4 linked regions of the Coturnix japonica genome follow. The protein of the gene in region 1 interacts with the protein of each later gene in a pairwise test. Links are inferred from orthologs where the notes say so. Each region holds a gene or a part of one and is shown on either strand. Other genes may lie near its edges.

Evidence for each region.
Region 2: the proteins of EWSR1 (region 1) and ATPAF2 interact in binary tests that used the Homo sapiens proteins (3 or more experiments, as listed by UniProt). The two-hybrid records come from large-scale screens. The link is inferred for Coturnix japonica from reciprocal best matches to the Homo sapiens genes EWSR1 and ATPAF2.
Region 3: the proteins of EWSR1 (region 1) and MAPK1IP1L interact in binary tests that used the Homo sapiens proteins (3 or more experiments, as listed by UniProt). The link is inferred for Coturnix japonica from reciprocal best matches to the Homo sapiens genes EWSR1 and MAPK1IP1L.
Region 4: the proteins of EWSR1 (region 1) and MVK interact in a two-hybrid assay, tested with the Homo sapiens proteins (2 studies listed by BioGRID and IntAct). The two-hybrid records come from large-scale screens. The link is inferred for Coturnix japonica from reciprocal best matches to the Homo sapiens genes EWSR1 and MVK.

What each region holds. Positions count from the first base shown.
Region 1 is NC_029530.1:9,977,382-9,981,917, forward strand, and holds the start of EWSR1 (RNA-binding protein EWS), read right to left. Parts: upstream 2,994-4,536; 5' UTR 2,971-2,993; coding exon 2,895-2,970; intron 1,142-2,894; coding exon 1,105-1,141; intron 878-1,104; coding exon 826-877; intron 1-825. Other genes in the region: EMID1 (EMI domain-containing protein 1), read right to left, coding at 3,828-3,940. UniProt on the Homo sapiens protein: Binds to ssRNA containing the consensus sequence 5'-AGGUAA-3'. Might normally function as a transcriptional repressor. EWS-fusion-proteins (EFPS) may play a role in the tumorigenic process.
Region 2 is NC_029529.1:5,012,159-5,016,785, forward strand, and holds the start of ATPAF2 (ATP synthase mitochondrial F1 complex assembly factor 2), read right to left. Parts: upstream 3,121-4,627; 5' UTR 2,799-3,120; coding exon 2,699-2,798; intron 2,327-2,698; exon of another isoform or gene 2,002-2,326; coding exon of another isoform or gene 1,926-2,001; intron 1,723-1,925; coding exon 1,678-1,722; intron 1,344-1,677; coding exon 1,198-1,343; intron 770-1,197; coding exon 672-769; intron 1-671. Other genes in the region: GID4 (glucose-induced degradation protein 4 homolog), read left to right, coding at 3,264-3,476. UniProt on the Homo sapiens protein: Plays a role in the assembly of the F1 component of the mitochondrial ATP synthase (ATPase).
Region 3 is NC_029520.1:51,140,904-51,145,403, forward strand, and holds the start of MAPK1IP1L (MAPK-interacting and spindle-stabilizing protein-like), read right to left. Parts: upstream 3,006-4,500; 5' UTR 2,877-3,005; intron 1-2,876.
Region 4 is NC_029530.1:5,902,730-5,907,342, reverse strand, and holds the start of MVK (mevalonate kinase), read right to left. Parts: upstream 3,128-4,613; 5' UTR 3,066-3,127; coding exon 2,988-3,065; intron 2,910-2,987; coding exon 2,762-2,909; intron 2,372-2,761; coding exon 2,224-2,371; intron 1,321-2,223; coding exon 1,165-1,320; intron 1-1,164. Other genes in the region: MMAB (corrinoid adenosyltransferase), read left to right, coding at 3,285-3,367, 3,630-3,691, 3,769-3,862, 3,951-4,008. UniProt on the Homo sapiens protein: Catalyzes the phosphorylation of mevalonate to mevalonate 5-phosphate, a key step in isoprenoid and cholesterol biosynthesis.

The sequences.
Region 1 (4,536 bases):
AACCTGATCTAGTAAAGGTGTATGTTTGGTGGCCCTGCTAGGCAGGGGGGTTGGAACTACGTGATCCTTGAGGTCCCTTCCAACCCGGGTAATTCTGTGTGATTCTGTATCCGCATCAAGCTGGCAGTTGTGGGCAGCAGCACAAAGCCCAGTTAGCTCTGCTCTGTAATGCTCCAGAACAACAGCTTTTGTGTGCAGAACACAGACGTGCTTTTGGGTGGCAGGATCTTCCTTTGAGAAAAAAAAAAAACACTGTCTGGAGATGCTGGGGAAAGTCAACCAAGTTGACTTCAAAAAACCACACTCGTATTTTGCATATAACTGTGGTTTCAGTAACTTGGATTCTAAGGATTAAACAAAAAAAGGCATCATTCATCTCTGAAAGATCATCAGCAGTTTGCAGTTTAGCCAACTTACAATACTAATAGCTACAACAGCTCCATGAAAAAGGAAGAAATCCATCCTCTCCTCCTAACTTTTCCAAGTGCTGCCATCAAACAAATGGCAATTTCCCCTTTCTTTTACTCCTTTTTCAGGTTTCTCTCTCCCACACCACCAAGTAAAACACCCTTCCGACACGTAAGTGTTAAACGTACACCAAGAATTAGGTTTTTATAATCCTCTTGGCAACAACTGGGATATATTAACAAGGAAGAGAATGTGGAAGCTCCCAGACATCAAGGCAGTTTCACTTTAAGCACAGGCTGTGTGGGAAGTTACAAGGCAGCTCCTAATGACAGGTTTTGATGCTGCTCAGAATGTTTCAGGGCTCAGAAGTGGCTGCTGGGATCCCAGGAAGGGTCAGAATCCCCTCCTGTGCTTTACCTGCGTGGTCTGTGCGTATCCTTGGGCTGGCTGAGGTGCGTACGCGCTGTAGCTGCAAAATGAATTTCAAGATGTTTATGATGCATTCAAGTACTTGTGCAATACAGATATCACACAATGGCTTTTAAAGCCAAAATCTTTCTGCTCAAGTGTTAAAACAGCACATAATCCAATAGAAAACCAAAGGGATTGCAAAGCAGACCTGAGCTAAGACTAAACCACAATTACCACACACTTACATCACAACTTTTTATGATAAAAGGCCATAATGCTACTTACCCCTGCTGAGCTGCAGCTTGGCTATAGGTGCTATAATCTACAAGAGAAACAAAAACAGAAAGAAAGGTTGACAAAGACTCAACAAAATTAACAGTGTAAGAGCAGAGCAGCTGGAATTTCCTCCAGCAACTTGAAAGAACTGCTATAAACCCCTGGAAATCTAGTTTCAAAAGAGTAAGGTAAATGCATTTTCTCAGCCTTCTAAAGGGAAACAAAACCTCTCTTCCCTTTATTGTTTCTGCTGTCTGCAGCACCAACTTTGATCTCAAATGACCCCACTTTAATTGAACTGCCATTTTCGATGGCACCCAAGGGGGCTGGTAGTGGGGTTTGGAACAAAGGTAACATGGGGGCTGACACTTACAAACCCCCCTGTTTCAAAGGGCCAGGTTGTAAGCCCTTGAGTCTGTACGAAACACAGCACTTTGTCTATTTAACTCTCAAGGACACAAACCCATCACTGGCAAGTTCTCTTTTCCCTAGGAGGGATTGCGACCAGCAGCTGGCAGCAATTCCTTTCCCCAAGCTCCAGCCCATGTAAATAGTGTGATTTAGAGCAAAACTGAAATCCAGAAAATCCAACCAGAAGAAAAAAAACCTCTCCCGAACTGGCTTGCTGCTAGGGATGGAAAATGCATGCACACGGCAATTACCAGGCTATATTTGAAATGATTACAGCTCCTACGGGCACGCTTTCTTTCCCTCCAAGCCACCAAGTGTTTCCAGTTCCCACCTAGAGCAAATGGCAGCAATGAATCCAGCCCTACGAGCAAATCTTTCCTGGGACACTCCTCCAGCTCTGCCAGGACCGGAAAGGTCCCAAGGACAGAGATGAAGAACAGGTTCAGACTTTGCTCGTAGCATCCTGAGCTGGACTCGGAAACCAAACGTGCACAGAGCTCTGCTCAGAGCCAGGCAGCCCCACACAGAAAAGGGTTCTGACGTTTCTGCTGCTACCACACCTTGTGTTAAACTGGTCTCTATTGAATAAAATGAGGAGTGTGTGCCACCACACCTTGTGTTAAACTGGTCTCTATTGAATAAAATGAGGAGTGCGAGCTTGGAGAGGCTGCCTGAAGACTATCAACAGCACAACATCACCACCCTGCTACCACTGCAGGTGATGGAATCACGTTAAAAACGCTGTTTAGAATGGGATGGAAGGAACCTTAAATATCACCCAACCTCCCCCCACCAGCTCAGGCTGCCCAGGGCCCACCCCTGGCCTGTAGCAGGGCAGTGAATGGGGCACACACAGCTCCGTGCAGCCTCACCGCCCTCTCAATGACGGATTCCTGTTACCACCTCACCTCATTCTCCCCTATTGGAGTTTAAATCCCTCCCCCATCCTGTCGCTATTAGTTGCCGGACCCACCCGCTCTCATCCCTAACGACCGTGCGCGCCCCCATTGATGCCCGGGCCGCTCTCCACGAGGCCTCGCAGCGTTCGCTGACCGCCACAAACCCGGCCAAGCGTCAGGACCGGGCCCAGCAGCAGCGGCATCACGGCGACCCCCCACAGCGCAGTGACACGGTGCTGCCGAGCACAGCCACAGCCGCTCCCGCTCCGCACCGCGGCCCCACAGCCCCGCACCGCCCGGCTCCCAACAGGCCGCAGCACCGAGGGCCCAACGCCCCCCCTCAGCTCGGGCTGCCCTGAGGCCCAGGCTCCGATAAAGGATGCGGTATGGCCGAGTGCGGCCCGGCCCGCGGCCCCTCGTCCCGCCCATCACGCCGTGCCCTCCCCTCGGAGCCCCGTGTGCCGCCCCGCTCCGCCCGGCCCCGCTCACCCGTCGACGCCATTTTCTCTTCTTCCTCCTCCGCGCTCCCAACGTCCGGCCGCCGCGGCCGCCCCGCGCTGCGCATGCGCCGCCCCGCCCGGCGGGACGCACCACTGCGATCGGCGATGGGGGGCGCTGCGGTGGGCGGGGCTTAGGGCTCCCCCCGCGCTGAGCGGCGGGTGGTGCGGCCCGCCGCCGTTACGGAGCGGCGAGAGGGGGCGGGGCTTCGGTGTGGGCGTGGCTAAGGGGGCGTGGCTAAGCGTGACGTCACGTGAGTTGGCGGGATGTGGGCGCAGCGTGTCACGCGTGGCGTGATGGTGCGTGGGGGTATGAGGGTATGGGGGGCTATGGCTCCCTGTAATAGGGATCCAAGTGGTGACATAGCACTGGGTGGGGACCCTGCTATGGGTCAGTGCCCCCCTGGTGACATGGCACTGCGTGGGTGTCCCACTGGTGGTGCGTTATGAGTGTCCCATTGGTGACAGCAGTGAGTGCGTGTCCCTGCGTGTCCCTGCTGTGCTGTGGGTGCCCCCTGGTGCCGTGCTATGGGCGATGTCCCACGGGTGTCGTGGCACAGTGTGGGTGTCCCACAGACAACACGCTGCTATTGCTTGTCCCACGAGTGTCACGGTGTGGGTGTCCATTGTCCCATAGGTGTCATAGGATACCATGGGTGTCCCCCCCTCGGTGCCGCCCACCCGTGTCCCCACCCATCAAGCAGTGACACACGGCTCTGGGGACACCTTTAATGCCCAGGCAGTGCCAGGACGGCACACGGGATGCAGCCCCCCGAGCACCGGGGTGGCCGTGGGGGCCCTGTGCCCCCCAGCACGGGGGTGCAGAGCAGCAGGGCCAAAAGCTGGGGGGGTCCGACCGGTGCATTGGCACCGGGTAGCACCAGGACCTCCATGTACACAGCGGGGACACAGCGGGGCTGCACTCTTAGGGCTGGCCAGGGAGAGCCTGGTGGGTGGGGGGTGAGCGGCGACGCTTGGCACGGGGGGGGCTGGGTGCTGGTGGGCCCCCGGGGCCGCTGCCTGAGCCGGGTTCTGGTTCTGCAGGAGGAAAGGAGAGAGCTGTGAGGCCGTGGGGTGTGGGGTGTCACAGCTCCAAATGGTCCTCAGGGGCCCCTGTGCCACCGTGGGGTCTCGAGGCCGTCGGGTCCCACATCATCCCCACAGATCCCTGTGCCCCCATTGGGTGCTGCCCACCGTAGGGTCCCCATACCACCAGGTCCCTCCACCCCCATGAGGTCTCCTGGCACTGGGACATCCTTGTCACCACAAGATCCAACCCACCACGTCTCCATCACCATGAGGTCCCCAAGTGCCACCAACAACCCAGACACCTCCCATTCTGACACTGGGGACAGAAGGGGGCGGCTGGCCCTGGGTGTGCCCCCAGCTCCATGTGTCCCTTCACAGTGTCCCCCCACCACTACCACCCCAGCATGACCCCCACACCCCAAGGGATGAGGACCCCCCGCCTGGCACCCCCGGTTGGCACGCAGGGATGAGGACAGAGCCCCTGCAGCAAAGCACAGCTGGAAAGGGGGAACAGCAGGAGGGGGCAGCTGGTTATGGAGTCAGCCTCAGTGTGAGGGGGCTGGGGGCTCCTCCAGGGTCTCCTTTGGGCTTTGAGATGTTCCTGG
Region 2 (4,627 bases), on another chromosome or scaffold:
CAGCCAAGGGATGCAGCAAGATTTAGTGATCCATGGGACAAATCCCACAGGGCCCTTCCTGCTGCCTTGCACGCCCAGTGGCTCAGCTTAGCACTCACCAGCCACCGCCCTGCCCAGCCCAACACAAACAAAGCCACAAAAAGTGAGGTGAATCTGGTTTCCCTCTCCCTTCAGGAGCAAAGCAGCTGCCAGTGGACACCTCAGAGGCTGAGATTGTGAGACGTGAGCTTGGGTAGGCTGGATCCTGCAACCCACAGGAGCTTTAAGGAGCAAAGGGCATTTTACTACTAGTACAGGTAATCTAAGCTTACTACACCTTTATGCTACTGGAGTGCCAGGGGACTGAGCTGACATTCTCCCAAGCCTTTCTTTGCTTTTCCCACTACATTTCTTGCTGCTCCTGCTCCCTGTCCAACATGGACATCTCCAAACAGATTTCAACAAAGAAACAGGTCCCTGTTCTTTGTATCTATGCCCTTTAAATGCATGGAGTTCCACTAGGTTGGTGGACATAGGACTCGTCTAAACTAATTCAAACCCCTGGGCCAAAGCCAGGACAGAGCAGAGCCCTGCAATGACTTGGTTAGAACAGACATTTTCCCTCAGTTCTCTCAACCACTCTACAACAAGACAACCCCACCTCTGTGCCAGTGCATCCCGCAGTCCCTTACCAGACAGTGTCAGTCTCCAGGAACTTCACAGCTGCACGGATCAGCTGCACCTTGTTTCGCTGAGTGGGATTGTCCAGAGCTGTGTTGCACAGTGTGGTCTGCAGGATAAAGGCAACTGAAATCACTGTTATCTAAAGCTCAAGGAAGCAGCAGTTTCCAGTGTACTAGGTCAAGATAAGCAGAAGAATTTGGGACAGACTGCAAGAATCAAGGAGCTTACTTAAGAGGGAAACATAGAGTCAGAACATGGCTCATATAATAGAGTCTATCCAACCTGTTCATACCCCTTGCTATCCCCAGAAATGCTCTCCATCCCCTTCTCAAACTCCCCAGTGACACGGGTTTCCCTCCCAGTCCTGTAGCCAGCATCCAGCTGCCTGCTCAGCCTTAAGTTATCCACAGTACTCAGCCAAGGCACTGAACTCCTGTTCCCACTTCAATTGACATTAGGACAGCCTGGTCTCTCTCTGTGTTCTGCCTCTGGAGACCATTTTTGTGCTTCAGCACTCTGACCTGCTGTGCTCACCAGGTGCATAGTGTAGAACTTGATGGTGTCTTTCTGAGAGTCCCATTCTGTTGCCACTGCAATGGCCAAGGCCTCACTGGGGACAGTGAAGAGCTTGGCCTGGGGTGTTTTCAGCTTCCGGTGGTCCAGGTTGATTTCAAAGCCTCCTGGGGAATCAGAGTAGAAATCCTGGGGAATTAAAGAGGAGCAGGCACTAAGGAACAACAGACTACCCCATAGAGGGAACAAGCTCAGAGCTGGAGCTGAAGGGAGCAAGGAATCAGCAATTTTCCCACCAACATCAATGTTTTGACATTGCTCTTCCCCAGATGATGCTGGAAACTTTCCCACCACATGGTTTTACTATGGATGAGGACAAGGGCAGAGCATGTGGGTGACAGACAGCCCAGCTCACAACAGGGGCTGCAGACACAGCACTGCCTTGTGATGGTAACCCCCGTGTGAGTACCAGCCCTCGCCTGCCCCAGCAGCTCCACTCACCTTCTCCTTGTGAGATGCTCACGTTCTGGTAAAACCGCTTCCTCTCTGGGGGGTTGAAAACAGAGCAATTGAAAGGGTGGCAAGGGGAGGTTTGTCAGAACACAGGGAGCCCTCAGAGCTGCTGCAGCCCACAGAACAGCCACAAAATCCCACTCATTCAAGCCCCTCTCCATTCCAGTGAGTTCTATTCAACCTGGGAGGTGTCACAATACTGGTGACATCCACAGCAATGCCCCAGATCTCCTGACCACCCATAGGAGCAGATTTCTTGCAGACACCACTTGGAGGAACCATGAACCCTATGTGCAGCAGCAACTGGATCATGTGTCAGACACGTTGCACGTGGCAGCTGAGTCACTGGGGAGGAACCACTGTCCTCAGCTCACCGCAGCCCACACGTCTCACCCAGAAGATTCCCTTGACAATTACAACCAGCTCGTAAATGCTGAGCCCATTGAATCCACCTCCTGGCTGTCACTGAACTGTGCCCTGCCAACACGGGCCCAGCAGAGAGAAGGATGGGGATCCACTCAGCCTCCTACAAGCTTCAGGGCCTCAGGAAATGCTGCAGTGCTGGAGCACAGCTCTGGGAGGATTCAGGCACCTCAGCGTGTTCCCATTGGCCTCATGATACTCAATGAAACCCTGACTCCCATCCTCGTGTTTCCAGCAATATCTGTAGAGGGGCTGCACAGCCCAGCACGTGCCTGGGAGGGGCTGGTGGAGCTCCCCGCCATCCCACCCGCAACCAAAGGGAACCTTCAAACCCACTGATGGAAAAGCAGCGCAGTGACGCCCCACCACCTCCTTACCCACCTCGGAGCCCATTTTCCCTCTTCCTCCTTTCTTCAGCCCATTCTGAAGGCCGGAACCCAACCCCTCCCCCAGCCAGCAAGAGCTGACCTTGAGGAGGGGGCTCCCACTAATCCCCCCCCACACACACACACACCGACACCCCCCGCGTTCCCCCGCTCTCACACGGGGCTCCGGGCTCCTCCCCGCGGGGCCCACAGCTCCTCACCTGCGGGAGGGGCGTATGTTCGACTCCCACCCGGACACAGCGGGCGGCTCCGGGCTGCCACAGCCGGGATGCGGCCCAGGGCCTGCAGGAGGCGGCACATGGCGGCGGAGGAGCCGAAGAGAACGATGAGGAGCCGAGAGGAACGATGAGGGGCGGCGAACGGAGCTGGAGCGTTGCGGCCTACCCCGGCTCGGAGCGGCCTCCCCCGGCTCAGCTTGTCGCCCCGGGCGCCGCCATGTTGCCCCGCTCCGCCCAATGGGAGCACAGAACGCGCTTTGCCCCTTCGGCCTTCCCGTCGCGTGAGGCGCGAGGCGAACAAACTACATTTCCCAGCAGCCTCCTCACCGTAAAACCTGCCGGGAAGGAGAGCTCTCCGCCAATCGGAGCTCCGCCCCGCCTTCTCGCCGCTTCGCGAGGGCCAATGGGAGAGCGCGGGGGCGTTGCCGGGAGGCCCCGAGCCAGGCGGCGGCGGCGGCGGCCTGGGCGTGAGGGGAGCGGAGCGGAGCGCGGCCCCGGTGGCGGCCGCTGAGCCCCGGCCACGCTGGCGCCCGGGGACCCCCCCGAGATGCCGGTGCGCAGCGAGCGGGGCCGAGCGGGCGGAGCGGCGGGACCGGCATCATCGGCTCCGTCCGGAGCGGCCGCCAGCAGTTTGGTGCCGCCGCCTCCCATCAACACGGCGCAGCCCGGAGTGGCCACATCCCTGCTGTACAGCGGGGCCAAGTTCCGCGGGCAGCAGCGCAGTAAAGGCAACGCGTACGAGGTGGAGGTCGTCATGCAGGTGAGGGACCGTGTCCGGCGCCCACAGGGCCCCGCTGGGCCTCAGGCCTTCCCTGCTTCCCTCCCTTCCTTCCCTTCCTTCCCCTCTGCTCCCCGCTGTCCGGGTTCCCCTCGCCTTGATTCCGCCCGGCCCCGATCCCCCCCATCTCCATAAGCTCCTCCCTGCAGCCCCGGCCCTTCCTGCAGCCCCCACCCGGCTCTCACTGCCCCTCACTGCTCCATCCCCTCAGGGCTGATGGGACCCGGGGTCCTTCCTCTCTTTTCCTCTCACACTTTTGCCCCTTTTCTCCTTGTGGCTGCTGAGATACTTAACAGCAGCTCTCAGAATCACAGAATGACCCGGGTTGGAAGGGACCTCAAGGATCATGTAGTTCCAACCCCCTGCCTGGCAGGGCCACCAAACATACACATTTATTACATCAGGTTGCCCAGGAGACCCCATAGATCCCCATAGAGACCCCATAGATCAGGTTGCCCATGGCCCCGTCCAACCAGGCCTTGAACACCTCCAAGGACGGGGCATCCACAACCTCCCTGGGCAGCCTGTTCCAGGGCCTAACCACTCTCCTAGTGAAGAACTTCCCCCTGACATCCAACTTAAATCTTCCCTCTTTTAACTTAAAACCATTTCCCCATGTCCTGCTATTGCCAGCAGGACTCTCCTTCTCGTTCCCCTCAGGCCTGGGGTGCCCGTGTGCCTCTGGGCTGCCATGAGGAAGGGTGGGATCCTGCCTCGTGTTGGGAGGTGCCCAGGAAGTCCCGAGCAGTGGGACAGCCTGTATTTCAGGCCTGGCTGGAACTCAGCAGGGATCCAGGTCCCTGTGCTGGGCTTTGTGTTCCTCATCCCATGGTGCCAGTGGCTGCGTGAGGAACCAGGGGAGGGGTGCAGCAGTTCTGCTGTAATGGGAATGTGAGCAGACAGTTCTGCAGAATGGGGCTTTCCTAATCCTCTCTGGAGTCACTGTCACCCTGCGTGCTTTATTTTTAGTCAGAGGTGCTGGCACATTCAATTTGGGTAGAGGTGTGGAGTTAGTGCATGGGGAAGCCAGGCATTGATGCATGTTTTCCTGTAGCAAATCACAGCGCTGTTCCTGCTGTGAGTCTCTTGGATCGGGGCACCCAGGCTGGGTGTGCAGCAGTGCTGCAGCCTGG
Region 3 (4,500 bases), on another chromosome or scaffold:
GCAGGACAAAGGCTGAGATGTGCAGCACTGCCAGGCCAATCCTACCTGCAGTACTGAACACCATGTGAATCCATGGCCAGCTTCAGAGAGCTCTGTGAAAACCCCCTGGGGTTGATGCTCCATGTGGCAAATTAAATCCTTCAGCCTCCGCCCTAAAACAGCCCAAAGTGTTTTTTCGGCTCTGAGTCCCCTCTGCTTCCACCAGAACCACATGGAAATGAGCGATGCAGGAGCATTTTTCCCATGCTCTTGCCCTCCCTGGCTTTTCTCCATCACCGGTCCCTGGTGACTGCCATTAGAATGAGCTGCCCCAAACCCTTCTTCCTTCTGTTGCTAAAGCGATTCAAACTGCTTTCATAACTTCATCAGCTGCATGGCACTTTGCTCACTATTGATGTGACAGATTCAGTTCCCATCTCTGAGATCACAGAATATCCCTGGTTGGAAGGGACCTCAAGGATCACGAAGCTCCAACCCCCCACCACAGGCAGGGCCACCAACCTCCACAATTGATACCAGTCCAGGCTGCCCAGGGCCCCATCCAACCTGGCCTTGAACACCTCCAGGGATGGACGGGGCATCCACAGCCTCTCTGGGCAGCTGTTCCAGCACCTCACCACTCTCACAGTAAAGAACTTCCCCCTGACATCCAACCTAAATCCTCCATCCTTCAACTTCAATCCATTTCCCCTTGTCCTGCTGTTATCTGCCCTTTCAGAGTTGCCTCCCCCGAGATCATCTTCCAAACAACAACAGAAAACCTCAGTGCAACAACAGGCACAGCTGCATTTCCACTGGGTGGCACAGCTCTATCAGCAAAGAGCTTCTTCTGTCACTGTGACATGACTAATGCCTACCAGCAAAACCTCATCTACAACAGGAGTCCTGCCCACATAACTGTAACTATCCAACACAGCTACGCAGATCAAATGGAAAAGAAACCAATGACAGCTTCTACTGCAGCTGCTCCATTTAGGCCTCAAGCACCAGCAGTTTATAGCTGTCCCTTCTCCATTTTTAGGGTCTAAAAGATCATCTCAAAGATGCCACACTCGAGCACTGTGCAACCATTTAGCCTGACCTGCGCCTTTACCCATTAGGAGAATAAATGGCAGTCAGACCGAAGATGAAAAGCAACAGATTCATAGTTAGCAGCTGCTTTCGATGCGGCGATCTTTCTGTTCTTTCCTACGCCTGCTTTGACGGAAAAGAAGGCAGAAGGAGGGTTTTTAGGCTTCAGATTGTCAGCACTGATCTCATCCACAATGACAACCACAATGATGCTCGTTAGCGCCTTTGCTATAAATTACCCACTACCAGAAAAAACAATTCAAAACACAAGTCTTACCAGTTTCCAAGACCTGTAAAATATACAGCCAGAAGGAATTGTAAGCTGTTCTGTTCCTCCATATAAGACAAGCTGTTCCGTTTTACAGCTGCCCCCCTTCCTAAGATGAGACCTGATCACTTCAGGTGCTTACAAACAGATGATGCCCAAACCAGCGACTAGAAATCACTGCTGAGAACTGCAAGTGTCCATTGCCAAAGCTCAATCCTGGCTACAACTTACGAGCAAGTTTTCCACCCAGAGGGTGGTGACGCACTGGAACAGGTTGCCCAAGGAGGCTGTGGATGCCCCATCCCTGCAGGCATTCAAGGCCAGGCTGGATGTGGCTCTGGGCAGCCTGGGCTGCTGGTTGGTGACCCTGCACACAGCAGGGGGTTGGGACTGGGTGATCACCTCCATCTTCCTCCTATCAACGCTATATACTTGTGAATTGTCAGCTAAACACGAGCACTTAGCAAAGGTCCTCCAGCACCGGGTTGTTTTTAAAGCAACACCAAAACTCTGTGTCATCTGCCAGTATCAGCCTCACCGATGACGAACTAAACTCCACACCCTTCTGCAGAGATTCCTTTCCAGGAAGCTTTTCAGGATACAGCCTCAATAAATGGACGCGGTTGGTACCTTTTCATGTTTGAATTCACACTGTTAAGGTCTGCTTGAATGAACTCCAGCTTCAAAAATACCTACAGTGCCTCTCCTCTCATCGGTCCCACCTAAGGAAGGGAAGCTTTGGGATGTGCCTTTTAAAAGAGCTATTATTTAAAGAATAAAGGCCTTTTTGTTTCCTACATCCCCGGACTAAACGGTTGAACAAACAGCAGGAGGTGATTCGTGCCTTCCATGGGATGCACCTCAAAATACCCCTTCCCTGGGAGATAAGCAGCTCCCCAGGTAGATCAGCAGCTCATAAGCAGCTCATAAGCAGCTGATAAGCAGTCCAGGGCTCTTCAATAGTGCACTGTGCTCCCTTTGTCAGTGAGTCACCACCTGAGACAACGAAACGACTTCTCACAAGCTACAACAGATTGGGGACATCACAGAACCACAGAACTGTAGGGGTTGGAAGGGACCCCTGGAGATCATCGAGTCCAACCCCATCTCTTCAACCATTTAAGAGGTGGGTTTTTAGGCCCAACTCAGTATCCCTCCCTCCCACTGAAGGTACAGACGCAATAACCGCTTGCATTTCTCTCCACGTAAAACGCTTCACAGTTATTTATACATCATTTCTATACCCATCCACAGGCTGAGCCCAGATCCCCCCAGCACACCCCCCGGCCGCAGCAGGTCGCTCCCCTCCCCCCGAGCCCTATATCGCTGTTCCAGCCCATCCAGCTCAGCTCCTCGCCCCTCCCCTCAGCGCCGCGACCCTCGGCACCGCCCCGCTGCACAGGGCCTGGATGGGCACGGCCCAGCAGCCCCCGGGGGCGGCCCTATGGCTGTAGGGAGGGGCGCTGCACCCCATAGCTCCGTTCCTCCATCCCCACCCCTCATCCCTGTGTGATGGTGCCCGTGTTGGGGCCGGTACCTGCGGTAGAAGCGCAGCGCAGCACAGGCCGGAGTGGAGGCAGCGGGCGGCCCGCAGCACCACCAACACCGCTACGGCAAGGAGGAACAGGAACTGCGTCACACGGCCCGCCCTAACAGCGACAGGAAGGGCGAGCACCAGAAGCACCGCCCGCTGCCATTAACACCGCCCCCATGTCGCCATTACTTCCTTCAGCCCCCACCCCACACACACTGTGCCCTACCCAGCTGTAGGAGCGACCCCCTGCTGTGTGCAGGGTCACCAACCAGCAGCACAGGCTGCCCAGAGCCACATCCAGCCTGGGCTTGAATGCCTGCAGGGATGGGGATGGGATGGAACAGCGAGATCATCAAATAAATGGCTTTGAAAATCACAGAATTATCAAGGTTGGAAAAGATCTAGAAGATCATCTAGTCCAAGTATTACCAATACTTCCCGCCTAAATCATATTCCTCAACACAACATCCAAAAATGACGTTGTCCTGAGTTAATAAGTGCTCTTTCTCAAGGCAGAAGCTTGTTGAAGTAAAGATAAAGTCATAAAACTGGTTCAAAGTGCAAATGCGCCCTATTGAGGAGATGAGATGAACTGGATGGAGCTGGAAAGGAAGCGCTGCTGCTTGTTGTGAATCACAGAATGACCCGGGTTGGAAGGGACCTCAAGGATCATGTAGTTCCAACCCCCTGCCTGGCAGGGCCACCAAACATACACCTTTACTAGATCAGGTTGCCCAGGGCCCCGTCCAACCTGGTCTTGAACACCTCCAAGGACGCGAACATCCACAACCTCCCTGGTGCAGCCTGTTCCAGGGCCTGACCACTCTCCTAGTGAAGAACTTCCCCTAACATCCAACCTAAATCTTCCCTCTTTTAACTTAAAACCATTTCCCCGTGTCCTGCCATTATCAGCCCTTTCCAAGAGTTTACCCCCTCCTGGCAAGTAAGTTCCCTTCAGGTATTGAAAGGCTGCCATGAGGTCACCCCGCAACCTTCTCTTCTCCAGGCTGAACAAACCCAACTCCCTCAGCCTGTCCTCATAGTTGAGGTGCTCCAGCCCCCTGATCATCTTCCTGTCCCTCCTCTGGACCCTTTCCAAAATCTCCATGTCTTTTTTGTACTGAGGGCTCCACACCTGGACACAGTAAGTTATGAGCAGGTGAGCTGTCATGGCAGACACTGACAGTCGCTGGTGTTCCACTATGGGTGCCTTGTGACAAGGAGTGGATTTCTTGGGGTACATTTTCTTTGCACGCTGGAGCCCTGATCACACATCAGTAGAGCCCTGATCACACATCAGGCCATTGCACGAGCTGCTTTCAGAGCTCAGAGCTGCAGGTTGTGGCTGGCGGCAGCAGGGACAGTTCCCTTCACTTGTTCTTCAGTGAACAGGAATGAGAAAATTCACATCAGTGAAACCCACCTGACTGTCTCTTCTTCCCCACCCTCTCCCTCCCTCATGGCTCCAGGCCTTTCGCAATCCTCTTCCTGTTCTCCCCTCCCCCTGCCCAATTGCTGACACTGTTTTCTGGTCCGGTGTTGCAATCTTCAGTCTCTCAATGAGTTTTGTGCCGTTTGCTGCTTGGCTTCCAGCCACGGATCCCACTGACAGATGATAACATGAAAT
Region 4 (4,613 bases), about 4.1 Mb from region 1:
GCGCAGTTTGCTGTAAACCACTTGTTTTTAATCCTCTTTGAGAGGCTGCGATTCTTCTCTACACAGGAGTCATTATATCACGCTGTTCTTTTCTTGCGATGTTAAGCAAAAAACCTTCTGAAGTCTGACACCCCCATCTCTCACCCCTCCGCGTGCCAGCTGGAAGGAAAGAAATCACGCTGTATTCAAGCTGAAGCTAAAGAAGTGAGAGCAGGGAATGAAGACATCCACGCTGCTTGCTGGCTGCTTCAGAACTGGCCTTTCATTTCTGACTACAGGGAGATCTGCCCTGATTGCTGCTCACTAATGGCTCCACTTGAATGTGGTTCTGGGTCCGACTGCTATGTCGGGTTCTGAAGCAGAACACAGCCATCCCCTCTCGCTGTCTCACTTTCAGGCCCACACAAAATCCACAGCAAGGCAACTGTAAAAGGTTGCACCTGGCAGGCAGTGAACAATGGAGGGTTCTGCAGCTCCAGCTGTGATATGCATCTTTAAACAGAGCCTCCTTAGACACACAGCAGAGCAGACCAGTTTTTCAAGCTTGAGCTCCAATGGAAAGCAAGGCAGGGTGGAGGGAAAGAAACTCCTTTTCAGCAGCCACTGATAAAGGGGAAATTCAGGCAGGAAATCAGAAGGAAATGGACCACATGAAGGAAAATTATATATATATATATCCACATGAAAACACAGGAGAAAAAATAAGACACAAAGATTCCTGGAGGACTCAAAGTAAAACCTAAAAGATGATCACAGAGAAGAAACTGAGGTTAAAAAAAAGATAGATCTATCTATCATATTAAAGAGCTTGTGTTATTTTCATGACAAAATAAAGCTGTCTGTATCTTACAAAGCAGACAGGGGGGAGAATGTGTGAGTATCACCAAATCTCTGCATCCAGTTGCTTTTGTCAGAAGGAATGAATTGCAAACAGGGCACAATTCTGCTGCTGGGAGGACAGGCAGCAATGGGAGGGGAAGGGAAAGGAGCTGGGTTTAGGGTGCCACTGTCACAACTAGAATCTAAGCCCAGCTTAGAGACAGAGAGACCAAGAGAAGTACTGGAATTTGCTAAGAAAACACAGGGCACAGCAGTCACAAACAGAACCCCCCCCCCAGCCCCAAAGTGTGTATTGAAGGCAGGGAAGCTTCCTGGAGGTGTTACCTGGCTGTGGCCTCCCCATCTTTCAGAGGGCAGGAGATGGCTCTGCAGGCATACAGCAATGCTGCCGCCAAGCACACGGCATAGGCAGCACTAGAGCCCAGCCCAGCTCCTGTAGGCAGCTCAGACCACACTGTTATGTCCACGCTGGGAACATCTCTGAAACACAAACACAAAGGTGGTAACGGTGACCTCAAATTCCATCTTGAAACGTTTCAATGGCAAAAAAGATGCCGATGGGGACAGATCACAAGAGAAGCTGGCTGAAAACTGGCAACATCAGCACATGCAGAACACATCCAACACACACGGGCTTCAGTCAGCACAGCTGAGTAGCCTCACTAAGCCATTGTGCTAGAACAAAGCCTTGCTGAATTGGATCTATGATTAGCACAGCTTGTCAAGCTGCTAGCGGGGGCACTTTGTAACTAAGCATTTGGGTAGCACCATAAAAAGACCCTTCTAAGACTTGAAAATATGCTTTTATATGTATTTCTAAATAAAGTCCAAGTATTGCAAATCCACAACTGTATCACTGCATCTACTGGAGCAAGATGAAGGTCACTGAGACACATCTGTGTCCATCATGCGCACCTGTCCTTCACTGCACTTGTCTGGGTTATAACAGCCCTGAGCTGTAGTTACCCCAAATTCTCAAGTTCTGAAGGAGATTCAGCCCCACAAAAGGAACCAGACACTGAATTCACAGCTCATCTCCACAGATGTTCTTCTATCCTAATGAAAACTCCTGCTGGGCCAGAACAGATGTCCATCTATCTGCTTGTATTGACTGTACAGGAAAGGTACAGAGATTGAAGCAGCTCCAAGTCAGGTGCTTAAGTGAGAGCAGACAATCCCTACCTGCCTGGGGCATCCCATCCCCCACACATTGCTCAGAGCTCTGAGAGAGTCCCCTGAGGCACAGAACCGAAATAAAGCACCATTCCCTTCCATTTCTTCTTTTGCAACAGATATTTGCTTTCTTCTTGTGACCTTGTGGAAGCAATTAAAGATGAACACTCGAGTCAGCATGTTTATTCTGGGGCAAGAGGAGAACCTTACCCATACTTAGCTGAAATAGCCAGACACATATAAAGAAAGGCAAGAACTGCAAGGCTGTCAGGAGCTGAAGCATCGGCAGCAATTCCAGCAAACTCTTTCAACACATCCAGCTGTTCTACGCTGGGGGACTTTGATTCATCAAAGTCAGCTACGGAGGCAAGCAGGGGAGAGAATGTAAACACTTGGAAAGCAGAAAACTGATCAGCTTGAAAGAACAACATCTGTTATATGAGACAGAGACTCTGTGAGCTACTTTTATATCCCATCTACAAACCTTCCAGCTCAAAGAAGAGTGGATGCCCCATTAGAGCACCCCAAGGGCCCCACTAAGCCTCTTGGCAAAGAACCTTTAGCTGATATCCAATTGAGTGATATAACAAAAGCAACCTGGGCATCCTCAAACTGCAATACAGAATGGTTTGAGCTGGAAGGGCCCCCCCAAAGCCCATGTGTCCCCACTGCCTGCAGTGCTCAGGGACCCCCCCAGCCCCATCAGTGCTCACAGCCCCATCCCCTGACCTATCAGTGTCGGTCCCACCTGTGACGCGGCCCCTCAATGCGCTGAGCTCGGCCAGGCCCCATTCCCTCCTCACACTGACACCGGGCAGATGGACTCGGAGCCGCTCTCCATCTCCAGGCCGCAGCCGTAGGAAGGTGCGTAGGCCCAACGCCACAGCCAGGGCGGCCTGAGGGAGAAACAGGGCGGTTAGCGGGGCTATAACACCCCAGTGAGCGATATAACGATATAACGATATAACCCTCACCTTGCCGTGCACCACAGCGTGCTCCCCGTGCAGAATCACCTTCCCCGGGGCAGACACGAGCAGCCCGAGCTCCATCATCACCACAGCGCTGCGGCCTACAAGGCTCCCGCTCCGCCGGCTGCCAAGCGGAGTGACGGCTCTATTAACCAATAGCAGCCTCACCCCGCCTCACCTTCCTCAGCTCGCACCAATCGTTGAGCTCCGTTCGGGGGCGGGGTTTAGGAGAGGCCAATCGGAGAGAGGCAGAGCGGAGTGGCGAGGCGATGGGGTGACTTGGGGGTACGGCGGCCGGGAGGGATGATACGGAGGGCGGCGGGGCTGGGCCTCGGTAGGACCGTGTGGGGGGTAACGGGGAGAGGACACGGGGATGAGGCGGGCAGGTGAGTGTGGGAACGGGGCGAGGGGGTCCCTAAGGGGCTGGGTGGCATTGGGCCTCAGGGATGTGCTCCTTTAAGGCCTAGGTCCCCTCAGGGCCTGTACAACCCCAGGGCTCTTTAGGGCCTGTATCCCCCTCAGGGCCCATATCCCCTTTAGGGCCCATATCCCACTCAGTGCCCATATCTCCCTTAGGGCCCGTATCCCCCTCAGTGCCCATATCCCCCTCAGTGCCTGTATCCCCCTCATCCCTGTGTCTCCCCACAGCTCTGAGCGAGGCCCTCGCATCACCCGCACCCCCAGAATCTACACGAGAACGGGAGATGAAGGTAAGGCTCTGCCAAGGCTTTGGTTGGAGGTAATGGGGAGCACAACTGCTGACCTCCACCTTTGGATCTTCTTAAAGGTTTCTCCAGCACCTTCACTGGGGAGAGGAGACCGAAGGGTGATCGGATCTTTGAAGCTCTGGGGACGACGGATGAGCTGAGCTCCGCCATCGGGTGAGCCCTGATACCCACTGTTGCTCAGGGTATAACACACACTGAGCCATAGCTTTGCTCACAACTAACCCTGCTTCTCCGCCCACAGGCTTGCTAGTGAGCTGAGCAGCGAGAAGGGCCATGCATTTGTTGGACAGCTTCACAAGGTGGGTGTTGATGACAGGCCTGACCCGCTGTGCTCGTTGCATGTGTTCTTAAATACTCCTGTTGACACATAGGAGTTGAATTAACATAGTGGTGCATGTTAAAATAGCATCTAGACTCTATGCTGTGATTACACTCCAAGAAATGAACTTTCTTAGCCATTAAGGATGCTGGTAGATCAAGTGGGTTAGTTATGGGCAGACAGATGTATCTGGATGTACCCAGATCTGTTTCTCCACACAGTCACAGATGTGAGTTAAGTTTTTCATGTAGCCTCAGTTTTGCAATGGGACTGTAACCACGTGGGTGTGATGGTGGGACACAGCTCACACTGTAGCAGTGTGTGGGTTATATTATTTAGCTTTGCTATGCACAGGAACTCAAAAGGATCTAATTAGAGATCATATAAAGCTTTACTAAGTTGCCCCTGAAATATCCTAGGCAATGGAGAGATGCTTCTCTTGGAAACAGATGTGCTATCAAGCCAGCATCTTCTCCAGCTGTTTGTCACTGCTTTTCCTTTGGAGGTTACTGCTTTGGTGTTCTACAAGCAAAGGGATTATATGAGCACATCCCGGCCTGCTCTCTGCACTGTCAGCCAGGATGG